3 linked regions of the Caenorhabditis elegans genome follow. The protein of the gene in region 1 purifies or fractionates together with the protein of each later gene. This does not show direct contact. Each region holds a gene or a part of one and is shown on either strand. Other genes may lie near its edges. The genes, in order: C24H10.2, egc-2 and Y104H12D.2.

Evidence for each region.
Region 2: the proteins of C24H10.2 (region 1) and egc-2 fractionate together in Caenorhabditis elegans (co-fractionation; one large-scale study listed by BioGRID). This does not show direct contact.
Region 3: the proteins of C24H10.2 (region 1) and Y104H12D.2 fractionate together in Caenorhabditis elegans (co-fractionation; one large-scale study listed by BioGRID). This does not show direct contact.

The regions. Positions count from the first base shown.
Region 1 is NC_003284.9:5,062,092-5,067,780, reverse strand, and holds C24H10.2 (uncharacterized protein), read right to left. Parts: upstream 3,180-5,689; 5' UTR 3,138-3,179; coding exon 3,090-3,137; intron 3,036-3,089; coding exon 2,979-3,035; intron 2,474-2,978; coding exon 2,309-2,473; intron 2,255-2,308; coding exon 2,099-2,254; intron 2,044-2,098; coding exon 1,486-2,043; 3' UTR 1,118-1,485; downstream 1-1,117.
Region 2 is NC_003282.8:8,900,040-8,904,808, forward strand, and holds egc-2 (CCHC-type domain-containing protein), read left to right. Parts: upstream 1-1,606; 5' UTR 1,607-1,621; coding exon 1,622-1,678; intron 1,679-1,724; coding exon 1,725-2,346; intron 2,347-2,393; coding exon 2,394-2,711; intron 2,712-2,757; coding exon 2,758-2,921; 3' UTR 2,922-3,138; downstream 3,139-4,769. Other genes in the region: rad-54.L2 (Helicase ARIP4), read left to right, coding at 1-683, 727-876, 923-1,008; Putative serine/threonine-protein phosphatase C27B7.6, read right to left, coding at 3,208-3,361, 3,662-3,742, 3,850-3,979, 4,061-4,292, 4,391-4,585.
Region 3 is NC_003282.8:1,175,187-1,183,364, forward strand, and holds Y104H12D.2 (DUF7930 domain-containing protein), read left to right. Parts: upstream 1-2,835; 5' UTR 2,836-2,852; coding exon 2,853-3,001; intron 3,002-3,112; coding exon 3,113-3,254; intron 3,255-3,360; coding exon 3,361-3,600; intron 3,601-4,300; coding exon 4,301-4,401; intron 4,402-6,127; coding exon 6,128-6,350; intron 6,351-7,405; exon of another isoform or gene 7,406-7,475; coding exon 7,476-7,604; 3' UTR 7,605-7,678; downstream 7,679-8,178. Other genes in the region: cec-2 (Chromo domain-containing protein), read left to right, coding at 1,250-1,489; rmif-2 (RecQ-mediated genome instability protein 2 homolog), read left to right, coding at 7,789-7,897.

The sequences.
Region 1 (5,689 bases):
ACTTCCATACTGATGGTCATTCACACTGACAACCTGCCAAAAGATTTTGGAAGTGAGAAAGGTGAGGCATGGAGGGTGTCAAATATAGATAGACACCCGCTTTTGAAATGGAGTTCGGCCATCCGGATGTTAAAATTGCGCTCACACTCGGACAAGTGAAGCGAAAAGAAGAAAAGTTCGAGTTAGGGCTTGGGGCAAGTTCCATGTTGAGGTTTGAAGTGAGCGCGACTCAATGGTTATGTGTTCCGGAAAAAGCTTATCTGTATCTCTGTGATCTGTGAACTTGAATATCCGTTTTTTTTGACTTCAAGCATTGTATCGTTTAAAAGAGTTTTTTCTGAAGTGAATTTTGTTGAAAAACAACCAGGAGTACGAGGAACTTGCAGTTTGGCTTATTCGGCAATTTTAGTACGTGCCAAAATTTTCAGAAACTAAAAACTACTGAAATTGACAACAACTTTCTGATTGCCGTGTGTTTCTAGTTGTGACATGGTTTATCTGTTAAGATTTCTGAAAGATGCGGGATGCGGGCAAAATCATTTATTTTCAGCAGTTTTTGTTATCTTTTTTTTTTTTTCTACTCCTGTGGATGCATAGTAAACCTATTCAATAAAATTTTAGAAATATATTTATTTACTGTCAAAGAATGTCAATTACTCAGTGTTTACAATTTTGAAAAATCGAAAGTTATTCGAAGTATCATGATATTTAATCGTTTAGGATCATCATGACTGTATTTAGACAAAGTCCCCATTGTCGTCACTCCACCTTTAAGATATGAATAAAACGGTACCAAGTGAAGAACCTTCCATTCAGAGCAAATGGAAAAAGGCAAAGCGACGCCGTAAATAAATTTTTTGTATATTCCAATGAATCCTGAAATATGTATTAACAAATTTTATAGCTCAGTCGGTAGTGGTGGACTAAGAGGCCACGAGCTTTATCACCTAGGCACACAGTTTAATTATAAAGTTTAGCAATTCACGACTGAATGATCGCATCACCATACTGTCACCTAGCTGTACCTGTATCCCAGATTCGCAGCACCTAGCGTTTGAGGAACGGATTCTCCTTCAATCCATGTAACTTTTTCATGATGCATGCTATCCTAAAATCCTTTTTTTACATTTCACTTTATTTTGTCCAATTAAAATGCTCTATAGAAATTAGTGTCGAGAAGTATAAATTTACAACAATCGATGTTTTGCTCACTTCTCTTAGTCATGTTCAGTAATTACAAACGGAGGGACCTGTTTCACGCGGAAATCTGGAATTGGTTCACACTCGAAATTGTTGGCTTACTTTTAAAAATAAACGGGATATACAATGCGTTGCAAGGAAAATCGGAAAAACAATGGGAAAGGTTACAAAATTGAAAGAGAAGGGATTTGAGTTTGAATATACAGCATTTTGGGATCAAGTTTTGAAGCAAGGGGAAAGTCGGATTCCAGAATAAAATTGTACTATAAGTTTTGAAAGTCGTTATCAGAGCCCAGATCCAGATCCAGATCCAGGTCCAGAATTCAGAGCAAGTTTTTGGAGAGACTCCCGTAGAAGTGCTCGCTGCTTCTCCGCATTGTAATAGAAACCTTTCTGTTCGAATTTTTTGATCATTTTGCTCTCGAGTTTCTTACGATCATTATCTTGTCCCATCTTCACATCTTCTTCATCCTCATTGTTACAAGTACAGTGATGACGACACTCATGCTCATACTCTTCTTCATCTTCAAAATGATCATCCTCATCATCCGAACAGTCCAATCCGAAAAGATTTCTCTTCTCAGCTCGTTGGTGCTCCATGAAGAGGTCAAGATTGTGGAAATACTTGATGGCTTGGAAAACACCGTCATAGTGAACAACGAGACGTTCAATGTCCTCAATTTCCGGCTCAAAGCATGGACACATTCGGTAGCTCTTTTTCTCCTTGTCTCCAGGTGCCGGTGGCCTTGGGTACAACGCACTGCAACGCACATCGATCCGTCGAAGGTTTTGAAGGAAATTTTTCGCGTCGTTGGGTGGGATGATTTTTGGAGTCATTTGGTGCTGAAATTAATTTTATTATATTTTTTATATATCTTAATTTCAAAAAATCACTTACACATTTGCGAACAAGTTGGTCAAGCGAGGCTCTTGCTTCTTCAATGCGCGCATAGTCTTGTGGCAACAATGGAATGCGCAGAAAAATTGAATCCGGTGATGGAGAAAACGGCGAAATGTAAGAATCGATTTCCCGATGATGCTTTTCAATTTGTTTCTGGAAAATGAATTAAAAATTATTATGTATATATGAATTCCTGAAAATTTGTACCATATTAATTGTAATTTTCACTTCCATTTTTGAATTTTTCGATCCATTTCCTGAGTCAATGTCGTCAGTATCAAAAATCATCGAAGCTTGGTTTCTGTCTTTTTCAACACGAGCCTGGTTAGAGTTAAACCGTCGGAAGTTGCTGACTTTTTCAATATTTTTGTTCTGAAATTGAGAATTGTTTGCAAATAATAGGTCATGAAAACGAAAAATAGTTTCATTATTTGAAAATATTTTTCAATTCTAGAAATGTCAATTGCAAAAAATGCTAGACTTGAGCTAGATATTTGCAAATTTAGGGTAAAGTTGGGATTAACCTATTGGATGACCAACAAATGAGCACTGAAAACAATTAAAAGTTGGCTTAATTTGGTTAAATGTTGCGGCGAAGTTTCTAAATTTTTCTGAACATATTAAACAGTCATTTAAAATTTTGAAATGTTTCTAATCAAATCTAATTGATAAATTTGGATTTCTGAGGCAATTTCGACTGATTCTACCCCACCTCCAAAACTATATTCTTTCCATTCTTCCAGCACGAAAATGAGCCATTTTTCTTAGTCGGCTTTTTGCTATCTGGCAGCTGCTGAACAGCCGGAAAAGGGAAATGCTATTTGAAATTTAGTTAGTGGGTTTCACGAAAAAGCGTTTTTTTCTCAAGAACACAAACCTCTTTCATGTTAATTTGCACAGTCACGGCGTCATCAAACAGCTTTGATCCTCCGGTCTGAAAAATAATTGAATCTCATTATTAATTCAAAAGGCGTAAGTACTAACTAACCATTTTTATTTTTTGTGAAATTTCCGGCACCCTTTGGCTTCCATTCATGGCTCAAGCTGGAGATGTCAATGTCTGAAAATGAAAATGTTTATCAAAGCGAAATTCAAAAATTCAACAATGATAGCAACACAAAACTGTATTTTCAATCAAGCTGGCACCGCCCAAAAAAAGTTTCAAAGAAAAACGAGACAGATAAGAGATGTCGTGGTTTTTTGAAAATAAAGAATTGGTTTTTTTTTCAATAGAGATGAATTAGCTTTGAATATATAAACGTTCTGGGTTGGATGAAGAAAAAAAAACGAATACATCCCCTTATCAATAATAGAACCAAAAATATATATGAAAAGTACACCCAATGTGCAAAAAGTGAAAAAGCACTAAGAAAAACTGAACGTTCAAAAGATTTTGGTGATACACAGAACGGCACTCAATTGCGCGCGCGCGCTCGTCCTTTCCTTTGCCTCCATGAGTGTTTGTGAGTGGTGTGAGCGCAGATGGTTGTGAGTGTGAATGTGCGCTGTGGAACTCTCTACTCGCTCCGCTCCGCTCCGTACGTTTCTGAGCGCGTCCCTATGTCAAGAAGAACGAAAAGAGAGCAGAGCAGCGGTGAGCATGAGTCGTCTCTGTCTTCGAAACGTCCCTGGGCCGCGGCCAACAAAATTGCCCGGGCCAATCGGTTAGTGAGGCTTACGAAATGAGAGACGTTTTTCATTATCGATTCACTGATGTTTCCCGATACGACGGGCCAGGGTCTGTTTCAATGATAAAAATATGTTATCAATTAACACGGTGGGGAAAATGAAAGATCAAAAGCAAAAGTTAATTTGGAATCAATACATGCAAGGATGGTGGTCTGAAATCAAAGAATAACCATAATAAACAGTAATGGACAAATAAAGACTAAGTATTTTGCAATTTATGAAAGTACCTAAAACTATCGGAATGATAGAATAGTTTGGAATATTCTTCTGAAATTTTTGAAGATTTTAACCATTTTTGAACATCAGTTATAATTTAGAATGTTAAAAAACTTCACCTCAAATTGATTCCAAATGTAGTTCATGTTTTTGTGATTGCAAATCAAATGCCCGTATAGTAACAATCTGTATCAGATTACAAATTTTCTGATATTTAAAATTTAAAACCATTAAAAAATTTATATTATTACTAAATAAATCAAAACTATGTAAATTTTATTAGGATTTTTGAATGTTCTTCTTAATTTTGATGCTACTCGTTTTTAGACTTCCCCTACAAAAATTAAAAATTTCAAAAATTTGAAGCAAAAACGCAGAAAAAATTTTGGAATTAATAATGTCTTGAGATACAGATCGCTTGAGATTCGAGCTTCAGTTTTGAGTAAGAAGTTTCAATTTATTGAAGCGTTTTTTTTGATAGAAAATTACAAGTTTCGTTATTCAATTCTTCAAATTTGAAAACCCTTATCACTTAAAACAAATATATTTATTTTACGAGAATATTCAGCAAATTTTAATGAGGCTTTTACAGTTTTTGTATTGAATAATATTTTCTATGCTGAACTTTGCTATTGGCTCCGTCTACGTATATTAGAATATTAGCTACTTTTGTCGGTTTTTTGGCTATGGCTCAAATAAGATCATTCCAGTATTTTGGTCCTTTGTTTGAGTGGACCGTTATTTGGACAGTTTGAAAACGTCTCTTTTTTCAATTTTCATCTGATTGTATGCTTTCCAGCAGGCCGTTTCTCGTATCGTGGACACCAATCGTTCATCAGAATTGTCCATCTGCCATCCTTGACACGTATTAAGCCCATCCTTACTTCATTTTCACATTGCTGCTTCTTTTCACATTGCTGCTGATACAGTTTGGAGTTCATTTTCGAAAGCTAATTCAAAAAACAATTGATTGATAGGTGACATATAACTAGAAAATGATAAACCACTCTTTATGTAATTTTGGAACGTTAATTGTTATTGTAAAATAGAAAATTTAAATTTAAAACAAAATTTGGTACCCAACATTTGAAAATTAAATTAGTTAATGTTTTAATTCTCCTTTTTTTTATTGTGCTCTCATTAGGCTTACACTAGGTTTAGGCTTACAATTAGAGAATATTATTTTCTAAGCCTAAGTTTTTAAGTAATTGTAAAGTTTGAATGCTAATCCATTGCATTTTACAAATTTGGGGTTATAATACACGAAAAAGAAATGTGGGCCTATGATACACATTAAAACTTTCCACTTATTGGAGCGGGTCTCGTAACATAAAAAGTGCAGGACCAATAGAAGTCACAGTACTAATTTTTAAAAATGTGCTCAGTTTCAATAACAACAATACAATTAAAAACTCCAAGATTGAAAAACATAGCATCATTTGCACCCACAAATTGACTGTGTATTTAACGACATATGGTCTCATAAAACCTTTTATCAATTATCTCATATCCTGTAAAAAAGCAAAACAAATAAAACTAATTTAAAAATTTTAATTCTTCAAGATGGGAATACATGATTTATTTACAGTGTATTTCCGATAATGATTTTTCTCAGTTAACCAATCAAAAAGCAGTATTGGAAGCAACATAAAATTTAGAAAATACACATTATACTTTCGAAAT
Region 2 (4,769 bases), on another chromosome or scaffold:
ATGGAATACAGATGATTGGGATTTCGGAGATCCGGTTCTAGACTCAATCACTAAGAGAATGAGTCAAATGTTTGCCGGGAAACCGTTCCTTCATGAAACCTTGATAATGGAGTCAGAGCAATCACTCAGCGAGCAGGAAAAACGAGAAGCTCAATTACTTTTTGATAGAGAACGACGTATGGAGAACTATGATCCATTGAGTGGCCTGAGCAGTTCTAACTTTTATAACAATGCTCCTGGAAGCTCAATGGGAATGATGGGTCCACCACCAGTTCCGATGTTCAATAATAACATGCAAAATAGTTTCAATAATCATTGGCAACAATCTCCTAATCAGCTTGCACCCAATTTTGGATCTTATCCACCACAGCAATTTCCACAACCGATGCCAAACATGTCACAATTTCCACCTCATGGACCATCACCTCAAATTCCATCAATTCGTCCATCACCAATGCCTCACACGCTTCGAATGAATGTCAGTCAATTCCATCACCAAGGAGGTGGTCATACGATGACGTCATTCAACAATGGCTATCCGAATAATAACAATGGAGGAGCTATAGGAAACCCTCAACAAATGCTTCCTCCAAGAGATCCATCAGCTTTTCCGGGAGCTGTTATGAGCAAAATACCATCATTTTCCCCGGCTGGAGCAGTTCAACAATTGATTACTGATAGACGTGAGTTTGACGTTTAAGTTTTTTTGAAAATTCAAATTTTTAGAACTCGTTTTTCCCATTGTCGGACATAGAGATCAGCTTCATCAGGTTCAGGCAAATACACCAATACAGTTAGTTGTTCCGAAAAATGGATATTATGTGAAACTACGTGATGGAACAATTCTTGACGCTGTCGGAAGTGTTTTTGAGAATCGTTAGTTTACTAGAAAAAATTTCGTATAATTTTTTAAAATTTATAGATGCCCGTCAGCTTCGTGATATGTATCTAAGCAAAAATTTCAACCATGATCCGCAGCAGGTTCAAGAAGTCATCGATCTTGATTAACAACGTCTTGCATTTTTTTCTTTTGATGTACATTTCGTTTTTTATCATATAAAATACAACATCTATCTCAATGCAACATCCAATGAGATCTCTGATAATTCACTATCATTTTACTCAATTATTTTTCCTCTTATAGAGGCTCCTAAATTAATTTTAGGCAAGTTTCGAATTTCCACATTTCAACTTTGTCCACACTCTTCCCTTTTATCATTAGTATGTCAATTAATTAAATTTTTCTGTTTTTTCCAACACAGTAATCAGCTCCGCTGTTCGGCAAGCTGCCAATTGTGTTTTATACGCCTTCTCTTTTAATTTAATGAATAAATACGAATAATATTTAAATTATCGGATTCGCTTGAAAGAGAAATTGGAATAACATTTTTCCGCAGATCCCCGTTTTGTAGTGCCTCTTAATAACGCGTTTTTAAATACTGACTTGGTTACTGTAGGTTTTGGTCCCGACACGAAATTCTGAACTCGTTCGGCACGTTTCTTCAATTTTCTTCATTTCTCTCACCCATTTCTGATGAATTAATGGTTTTTAGATTAATTTTTAAATATTCAGCGTTCTGCCAGTTTCTCAAAATAATTTTTTTAGACATTTCGGTCGGATATGTCGGAATTGTCGAGTGAAATGAAGTCAATGGAAAACGGAATGTCGGCGAGAACGGTATTTTTTATCAAATTAATGACAATTTGTAAACTATTCATTTCAGGACAGACAACATTATCTTGAGAGAGCTCAATACTCTCCATGGCCAAAAACTCAAAATAGTGGAGCATTCGGAGCGCTAACTGATCAACCGAGAAAGTATCGAGGAGGATTTGGAGGAGGTGAAGGCTTCTCTGATTTTGGATCCGTTAGTGGACTTGGCGGTAGAATCCCCAGAAACTCCTCTCACCTAAACGACAGTTCTGGATTTGGTTCCGTACGAGGAGGGTACAGCAGTTATCGAGAAAGCAGATCATCTCGTGTTGCTGTTTCGGATGCTCTTTACATGAATAATGAACGTTGCGTGACACCTCTGCCATCTGAGAATATAATGGGTAGTCCACGGCGTGGATCTTTCCGAAGTTCGCCCCGATCCGATGGTATGGGATCTTCATCGAAGAGACCACGCTCTGGCCGCCGAACCGGTAGACGTGGGCGAGGTGGGCCAGGCCACTGCTTCCATTGTCAAGAGCATGGACACATTTCGAGAATGTGCCCGAAGAAGGTTGGAGAAACGGATGAACACGGAGATGGAAAAGATATCGAAGTGGAACCATTTGAGACGAAAGATTTACTCCAAGAAGACGCATCAAGATACTCTTCTAATATGAAGGCTTTGCATGGAGGTTATTGTTTGAATACTAGGAAAACGTAACAATTTTTATGTTTTCAGGTGGACTGTATCAAAGCAAGTTGGACAATCAAAAGGCCCGTGAGTCTTATTATGGAGGGTACGGCTACAGCATCAACAGTCTCACCCCAAGAAGTGTTGGCAGCGTGAGAAGTGGTTTCACAGCACCAATGATGTCGCCCGAAATTGACAAATTCTCAGAGCAGTTGGACAATGCTTTGAAGCTCAGCAATGTCGAGCCGGTAGCTCCGTCGCCATACGTGATGACTATCACTGGAAAAGGGCCAGCTGAAAAATTGATGAAAGAAGTGCCACCAGTTGCTCCAATCAACACTCTACAGAGCAGAGAAGGAGCCAAACGTGAGATTATCAAAATTCTATAATTGTATAATGTTCATTATTACAGAAATTTCTACGGAGACTTTGTCAATCGAGACACGCAGAACTGTGATGCGCGATGGAGAATTCCACTTCGAGGAGACGACTATCATCAATTTCCCACGAGTTCTTCCGCCCAACGTCCGTGTCATCGCTGCCCAGTTCGTGCCGGTCGCTTCACAAAATTCATAATTTCTGATAATTATGATGCTATCAAGGAAAATGTTTAATAATTACTATTGGGAACTCTGCCCAATTTGCAGCGTATTTTTACTGTTTTTCATTGTTGTTCCATTTATTGACTTCTAGGTATTGTTTTTTACGTTCTGGAATTGTTTCTGTCCTAAATTTGAAAACTTGTATTTTTGATTTGAGTCTTCAACCTCATTTCATAAAAGTGTTTCATGTTACTCTCGTTTCATAATTATACACACTCAAACTTGAACATTTTCTACAGTATACTTCATTCAAAGGAAATCTACGCATTTTCAGTAGAACTCGGAGGCGATCGTGGAATTGGCGGAGATTGGGCGAGTGGAGCGTCCGGAGATGGAGTTCTTGGCGGAGGCGGCGTCGTACTAGTAGTCATTCCCAATTTTTTGCGGATTGATTCAAGAGACATGACTTTATCTCTGGAAATATTGTAAACATGAAAAAACTTCTTCGCATATAAAAAACCAGCCGTGGACCGCACCTTCGGCGCGGCCCCCGACTTCTGGGGCTGAAAATTAATTTTTTATGAAACTACCGTAACCCTACAGTATTCCTACCGTACCACTATTGTACCACTACAGTACCCCAACTATATCCCTACACTAACCCTAACTCACTATCCCTCCAGAAGCCAAAACTTCACAGACTACAAAGGCTACATAGACTACAAACTATGGACACACAGAATAAGCGCTTTATATATAGTAAATGATACTTACTTCAAACTAACTTCTACTCCATATCCTTTCTGTGTCTTGCGAATCATGTCCAATACAGAATGATCTTCATCTTGGTTTGAGCTGGAAATTACACATATTGAAAATGCTCCTATAACATGATTGTGAAGTCATGTTTCCGAATAATTAGACGGTCACATTTTCCAGAGGTACTGAAGCTTTAATCTCACCTATAAGGCTTCTTCACAGGTGTCTCATTGTCTTTCTTACAAAACTGTGTTTCATGGGCAAACATCGAGTATTCTCCAAGAAATGGTGACATTTTCTGCCCGTTTGGTGGAACATTGAATTGGCAACTTACTGTAAAAAATTGAATATTAAAACAATCGGATAAGTATGTTGTTTTTATAGATTTTTGCAATAAATAATAGGAGAACTCACTGTTTTTTCTAGGATTCTCATCAAGTGGCTGAAAGTTTTTTTCGAAATCGTGAAGAGTTCTCTTGTCCAATTTAGAGCGATCATATCCCTTATTAGGTTTCAGAGTCACGATTCGCAATTTCAAACTTTTACTGATTGTAGCAACTGATCCCAAATTGGAATTGTGTCCAGAATAATAAGGCGCTGAGAAGACTGTCAGAAGACGGTTGTCAAACTCAAAAGTATGTCCTTTCTGGAAACAAAAAATATTTAACATGCGAAATTGAACGATTCGCAATTTTCAAATGATTATACTACCATAGATGAAAGGTATAGATGAAAAACATAAACCTCTTTCATTTCATGAGCTCTGATAATCAGGTCAATAGCAAGTGTAGTGCACAAATTGTCAACGACTGATTTTCCGAAAAGTGTCGAAATTCCTCGCATTTTATTGAATTGAATTGTGTCATCTTTTCGATTTGGATCAGACCAAATGAGATCAACGATCAATCCATGTTCACAGTCACCATGGACACGGGGTTTCTGCAAAAAATTATTTATCAGCGACACAGTGGCCTTGTGACAACGGACAATTTGATTGTCAGTGTCCTATTTTTTCCAAACACACTCAGATATAAAAGTTCAACGTATGTATATATCAGGGCTGCGCGGCAATCGGAAATTTCTGGCAATCTGCAATTTCGGCAATTGCCGGTTTTCGAACTTT
Region 3 (8,178 bases), on another chromosome or scaffold:
TAAAAATAAATAATTTTTGTTTCAAAATGATTCGAAAATGTGTGAAAAATGGGGCTTTTACAACAAATTTTATATGGAAATCGCGATTTTCGTACGATTTTCAATGAAAATTTTGAATTTATCGTGAATTTTCTCTACAAATCCGGAAAACGTGATTTTTCAGCCGTGAAAGTGCGATTTTTGAGCTGCGAAAAACTGCGAAAACTCCTGGTCCTGTGCAAACACATCGGTAATACACCGAACCTTACGACAGAATGCAGAATAATCCCGTTTAAACGTAGAATTTGAATTTTTCGCGTTTTGTCGTCAAAATTTTGCGCAATTTAATACTTTTTGTAGAAAAACTCCATTTTTTACCAAAAAAAAACCGTTCAAATCCAGTTTTCCGGTTACTGTAGCCATAAATCGGTGTTTACACCAAATCTGACGACAAATTGCAGAAAAAAGTCGAAATTTCTGCAAGTTGTCGTCGAATCCGGTGTTTCTTAGATTACTGTAGCCGTATATATGTGCAGTACACAGAATCTTACGACAAATTGCAGAAATGTAAAAATTTCTTGAATTTTCGGTAAGAATTGAGTTCAAAAACGTGAAAAAGTAAAGAAAATGGCTTTTTTTTTAAAGGTAAATTTCACCGAAAATTCGAATTTTCTGCGAATTGTCGTCAAATCTGGTGTTTCTTGGATTACTGTAGCGTCAGATGTGTGCAAAACACTGTATTTTACGACAAATTGCACAAAACTTGAATTTTCAGTAAAAATTGAGTTCAAAAACGTGAAAAAATCTAGAAAATTGCTTCTTTTTTTTTTGTTGATAATTTGACCGAATATTCAGATTTTTCTGCAAATTGTCGTCAAATCTGGTGTTTTTTGGATTACTGTAGCGTCAAATTTGTGCAAACACCTTTTACTTGAATTTTAGGTGGAAATTGAGATCAAATTGCATGTTTTAGGAGATTTTCAATAAAAATTTAAATTTTCTGCAGTTTGTCGTAAGATCTGGTGCACTGCAAACTTTTGGTGCTACAGTAACCTAGTCCACACTAAATCCTACGAAAAACTGCGGAGTTACGACAAAAAATATAGAAAATTTCATTTTTTTTTAAAGGTAAATTTCACCGAAAATTCGAATTTTTTGCAAATTGCTGTCAGTTTCAGTGTATTTGCGCAAGATTTTCATCCAATTTTCATTGAAAAATGCGATTTTCGCCCTGAAAAATCTCAAAATTTTTTAATTTTTTAATTTCCAGAACCGCTTCAACGCCCACATCGATGTCCCATGCTTCACCCTTTGGATGAACGGAAAAATGTGCGAAAAACTTGAAAATTCGCATGGATTATCGATTTTTCGGCCGCTCGGCACAGTGCTCGACGTCAACGAACTGAAAATCAAGATTACTGAACATTCGTCACGTTTTGTCGCAATTTTGCCGGTTTTTAATTTGAATTCCGACTGGAAAAATTGTTTTTTTCCCCTGGAAAATCAATAATTATCGATTTTTTTCTGTTGAATTCGTATTTTCTATAATTTGCCGTCGTTTTCACTCGATTTCCCACTGATTCATAATAATTTTCTTTAAAAACCCACTGAAAAATCGATTTTTCCGCTAGGGAATTAATTATTATTGATTTTTTTTTGATAGAAAATCGATTTTTATCGATTTTTCGCTAATATTTAAAAATCAATTTATCCTAATTTCTCACTGAAACCCCCCCCCCCCCTATTGCTATCATGAATTCATGATAGTTTTCTTTAAAACCCACTGAAAATCGATTTTCCGCTAGAAATTTATCGATTTTTCGCAAATTTTTCATCACTTTTTCCCGATCTCGTTGTTTTTATCCCGATTTCATGTCAAAAAAATCAATTCCGATTACAATTCCATGACCAATTCTAAATTACAGAAAAATCGATTTTTTACGAAATTTATCGATTTTTCGCTATTTTTTCATCACTTTTTCCCGATCTCGTTGTTTTTTTTTTGAATTATTGCTAAAAATCACTTCCGATTACAATTCCATGACCAATTCCGCCCAAACTATCGATTTTTTGCTTGAAAATCGATAATTTTTCAACCGATCTCTTGTTTTCTTTTTAATTATCATTAAAAATCACTTCCTCTCACAATTCCACCACCATTTCCGCCAACAAAATCCACAAAATTATCGATTTTTCCGCCGGAAAATCGATAATTCCTGTTTTTTTTGTATTTTCCCCTATTTTCTTAATTAAATTGCTTGTAGAATTGCCTAGTATCCTAGAATTCTAATAGTAACCGCTAATATTATTGATTTTTCCAAAAAAACCCTGAAATTATCGACTTTTACCTAAAAATTGTCGTTTTTCTTCTGTTTTTATTGTGTTTTTTCGCCGAAAATTGTCGCATATTGTTAATAGAATCTCATTTTCTGCCCAACATGGCGCAATTCTTTTAATTTACCCTGACTAATGTGCTTTTTCTCACTTTCTACACCATTTTTGTGAACTTTTATCGATTTTTTTTTCTCGTGATTTTCCCCCATATATCATTGACCTACTTCACACATATGCAACTTCTGAACACTGGAATAAATTTATTAATGTTTCATTACTAAAATCTTTTGAAATTGCGAATTAAATTGATTTAAATCGGGGTTTTGCCGCACTTTCTGCGATATATTGCAATTTTTCGGTTTGAACTCCCGCGCATTTGAATTAACGACACTCCGATATCCCGCCAGCGCGTGTTGTTTATCGCGTTTTGTTTTTTGAATAAAATTGTTTATTTTTGAGCCAAAATCTTTGATTTCAACGGTTTTTTCGTGATTTTTTGTTAGAATAACTGAAAATTTAGAGATTTCAAGCAAAAAACTATGCCAGAACCAACGGAATTGTCTGGAATCATCTCAAAACTTGAGGAAACCTACGCATTCGCCACCACCAGTCTTGGAAACGTATTTATACCGATTGCAGCGGCCAGAACCAAGAACGAGACGCTTTTAAGCTTGCTCGACAAGTTTTCGTGAGTTTTTTTTGCTGGAAAAGTTACATAAATCAATTAAAAATCAAAGTTTTGGGTGAAAATTCAAGTTTTTTCGAACTTTTCCCGGAAAAAATCGATAAAGTGTTTCAGATACAACGAAACTGTGCAAATGGTGGTTATTAAACAGATAGGACGCAAAAATAACTGCAATTATCAGGCAAAACTCGTGAAAAAGCTCGAAGGCTCAATGTTGGCGGCCGCCAGAATTTCCAATGAAGTTTTCGGGCCATTGGTGGGTTTTTAGGGTTAAAAACTTGGTTTTAAGTGAAAAAATAGTCAGAAAATTGAATTTTCCATAGTTTTAAAGCTAAAAAATCTCGAAAATCCCGTATTTCCAGATCGCCCAGGTGACCAGCACCACGGATAGCTACGCGTTTGCTCAAAACGACGAAAAAGGCACAATTTTCGTGCCGGGAGACGCTTTTGACGCGAAAATCGTGAAAAATGTGGGCCGATACGTGAATACCAGCAATCAACTGGTGCTAAAAATCAAGGAGCAAATCGAACGAAAAGGGTGTAAATGGGTCGCTGTTGAGGCTGTAAAACACTTTGTTGTCGAGGAAAATGAGGAGAAAGAGGTGGAAAATCGAGAAAAATCGATAAATTTTGATCTAGAGCTCGGAAAACTGCTGAAAAAGTGAATTTAGAGCAGAAAATTGGAGTTTTGAGCCGCCGAATGTCCAATGTTCAAGTAAAAAAATGTGAATTTAGAGCTAAAAAATTTAAAAAATGGCAAATTTCGACTAAAAATATAACTTTTCTCCCGAAAAAACGAATTTTTATGACAAAGTTGAGCCATTTTGGTATTTTTGCCCAAATTTCAGCTAACAACTTAAAAATGATCTAAAATATCCAAATTTTTGTATAAAAACCTAAAAGTTCTCCAAAAAGTTCAATTTTTTGCCCAAATTTCCGCTAAAACCTGGAAAATACTCTAAAATACCCAAATTTTTGTATAAGAACCTAAAAATTGCGAAAAAATATCCAAAAAAAAAAAAAGACTTTTTGTCCAATTTTCTGTTCAAAACACGGAAAAACTATCCAAATTGCACTAATTATACAAAAATCTGTTTTTTTTGGCCAAAAAAAATTTTTTTTCGGCTAAAAACTCGGAAAATTAATTAAAAATGCCCAAATTTTTGCCTAAAAACCGAAACATTGCAAAAAATTCACAAAAAACTCAATTTTCGCCCAATTTTCGAGCTGAAAACACGAAAAATGCTCAAATTTTTCCCCCAAAATATGCCGAAAATCAATAAAAATTTCAATTTTTTTCAGGCGGTAGCAACTGGAGAAGTAAAAATTTCGTGGGGAGTCGTTGTGGAAGTTGATGAAATGGAAGCACATGTATTAGATGAAAAGAATGGAATACTTGTTACGTTAGTAATGTTAAAAACTAAAAAAAATCTTAAAAATCTTAATTTTATAACTTTCTGTAAAAAAAACGAAAAAAAAAAATCGAATTTTTAGATAAAAACTCTGTAAAATCGAGAAAAATTGACTGTTTCGGGCTTATTTTCAGACAGAAATTAGAAATATAAAAGCTAATTTCACAGAAACATAAACTTTCACTAAAAATTGGCTTTTTACAAAATTTCTTCAGTGAAAATCTGGAAATTTTACCAGAAAAATTCCGGAAAAATGTCAAAATGTTGACCATAAATCGAAATTTGTACAAATTTTCGGAGAAAATTGCATTTGATCATCAAATTTCATCAGTTTTTACATTTTTTTCAGTGAATATCATACAATTTCACCAAAATATTGGAAAAAAATCGGGAAATTCACATTTTCTATGTGGAAAATATAAGAAACCAGCCGTGGACCGCACCTACGGCGCGGCCCCCGACTTTTTGAGAAAACACATTAGATATACGGTGTCTATCGCGGACCTCGATCGATGTCTGCTGCGCACTTAGCATAAGGTTTCCCAAAATTTCGTTGCTCTGATCAGAGATCAAACTACATAAGGACAGAAGGACACGCGCTTTATATATAGTAAATGATATAGGAAAAATCCTGGAATTTTCCAGATTTTTCTGTGAAATTCTAGAATATTTTTGGTTGAAAATGTCAAAAATCCAGAAAATTTTCAGAAAATTTCCCTGTATATTGTCTGTGACTTGTGTGTTTCTCTATCCGAATTGATGGTTTGAATAGTGGTATTCTCGGCTGAAATATGCAATAAATACCGTATTCCAACCAACAATTTGTGCAATAGAGCACATTTGTCACTGGAGATGCAGAAGCTATGCCCAAATTTTCATTTAGCGCGGAAATTTGGCTGTTTTCGGGTGTAAAGTAGAAAATTTGGAAATTTCGACATTAAAATTTATTATAAAATTTGAAAAAAAATCCATAAAAATCCCTTTTTTCTGACAATTTTCTGTTAAAAATTGGTAGTTTTTTGGGTTTTTTTAAATCCCAGTTTCCGAGGAAAGCTATAAATTTGGGTACGGTAACTCGGAATTTATGATGTTTTTTTTTAAAGCTGTAAAAACTGAAAAATTCTGCTCAATTTCCAATTTTTGTTGAAAACCTAGTGGTTTCTTGGATTGTTCTAATTTTTTATCAAAATCCTGCTGAAAATTAGAATTTTTAGCTTTTCCGCTTGTTTTTCGGAATTTTTTGTGGCTTTTTCCAGGTAAAAAATCCGTTTTTTACGGAAAAAACGGCAAATTTTTGAATTTTTCGATGTTTTTCCCATGAAAATCGGAAAATTTGTATTTTTTGTTTATTTTTAAAGGAAATTCGAATTTTTTTTCGTGGCGAGACCCAACCTTTTCAGACTTTGCGCAAAGTAGGTCAAAATTATACGGCAACTTGGCAACTGAATTTCCCAATACTGTCTGTGACTTGTGTGTTTCTCTATCCGAATTGATGGTTTGAATAGTGGTATTCTCGGCTGAAATATGCAATAAATACCGTATTCCAACCAACAATTCGGTGCAATAGAGCACATTTGTCACCGGGGATGCGGAAGCTATGCCCAAATTTTCATTTTTCAGGAAAAACACCTTTTAAAAGCCAAAATTGGGCCAAATTTCATAAATTTTTGGCCAAAAAACTTAAAATTTTCACCAAAAATCGCCTTTTTTTTTGCAGATGCCCAATTCTAAAATACACTGGCGGAGCAGATGATAGTCCTTCGGCTCGAGCACTAAATGACGTCATATCAATCGATAATCACGTTATGTTCAAAGCTATGCTAATCAATGGAAGATATGACGCTGTTGAATGGAAAAAAATTGCCGATTCTCATGAACTTGTGATGCCGAAAAAAGTGAACACGTCGGATTCGTATGCACAGACTCCTGCGTGTCTTGTGGTACGGGGTTTTGAGTGGAAATTTGGGATTTTCCGCTAAAAATGAGCTGAGAAAATCGGAAATTTTAACCCTAAATTGCCTGGAAATTCGGAATTTTGCGTTAAAAAAAGTGAAAAAAAAACATTCAATTTTAGATCCAAAAAGTTTATTTTGGAAGCTCCCACTTTGGCTGAAATTTTGATATTTCTGGTTAAATTTTACCGGTTTTATGCAGAATTTTTTATAATTTTCCACTTTAATTGGCATTTTAGAGCCTTAATTTTTACTAAAAATGCGCTAAAAATTTGATATTTTACTAACTTTTGTTAGAAATGTGAATATTTTATTAAAAAGGTTGATTTTTATGTAAATTAAATTATTTTGTCAACAAAAATTAGATAAAAATTCGGAAAACCCATTTTCCATACCGTTTTCAGATATTTCTGGCCTCCTTTGCAAAAAAATGAAAAATTGGAAATTTTCAGGAATTAAAAAAAATTCAAAATTTTTCAAATATCTAAACAAATTAGGATACTTTGACCGATTTTGCTACGCTTAGAAAAAGTTTTAGTCCATTTTCTAAATTTAAATCAATTTTCTGACGACATTTTTCAAAAAATTTGAAAAATTTCACACATTTTGACTAGTTTTTTTTCCAAAAATGTAAATTTTTTTTAAACTTTAAAAAAGTTTTTTAAATTAAAAAGCTGTAAAAACCGAAAAATTCTACCTAATTTCCAATTTTTTGTTGAAAACCTAGGATTAGCTTGGATTTTGCTAATTTTTCTCAAAATTGTGTTGAAAATCTGAATTTCTAAGCTTATCCGTTTTTTTTTCTAACATTTTCGGCGTTTTTCATCCCAGTTACCGAGGAATGCTATAAATTTTGAGTACGGCAACTCGGCAACTGAACTGAATTTCCCTGTATATTGTCTGTGACTTGTGTGTTTCTCTATCCGAATTGATGGTTTGAATAGTGGTATTCTCGGCTGAAACATGCAATAAATACCGTATTCCAACCAACAATTTGTGCAATAGAGCACATTTGTCACTGGAGATGCGGAAGCTATGCCCAAATTTTCAATTTTTCACGTGAAAACTTTGTCAAAATCACTAAATTTTCGCCTAAAAACCTGAAATATTCAGACAATCATGTTCCGAAAACTGCTCCAAAATCATCCAGAAGATATGGATCGATACTCATCAATATTGGATCAATTGCCACCGTCAGCACTTCCAGATTGCTATTTTTCCCGTGAAAATTGCACGGAATAATGGGATTTTTTTTTTGGTTTTTTTTTCGGTTTTATTCTCGAAAACGTGTTTGTCAATACTAATTATTGGGTTTTTTTTTCACAATTTTGCACTTATTTTCCGCACAAAATCGGTTAAAATTCCGGCTTTTTTTTACCTATTTTCACCCATTTTTTACCCCAAAAAACCGGAAAATCCATAGAAAATGTGCGATCGAGACGATTGTGCAAGTATCGCGAGCCGCTGCACCGGAGAAACTATCATTTGTGCATTTGTGGAATCAATCACACCGCCCAAGATTCGAGATAAGACGGGTAGGTTTTTTTTTTGCGGAAAAACTGCAAAATCCACTTAATTATCGATTTTTGGTGCGGAAAACGCCGAAAAATTGTCATTTTTGGGTTACTGTAGCCCCAAACATCACACCAATGCATCGGATCTTACGACAAAATGCAGAAAAAATTCGATTATTACGTAGAACCGCGTTTTTCCGCATTTTGTCGTAAAATCCGGTGCATTGATGCGGTTTTTGCACGGATTTAGGGATACGGTAACCACAAATTCGATTTTTCATTAAAAAATGACATAGTGCTAA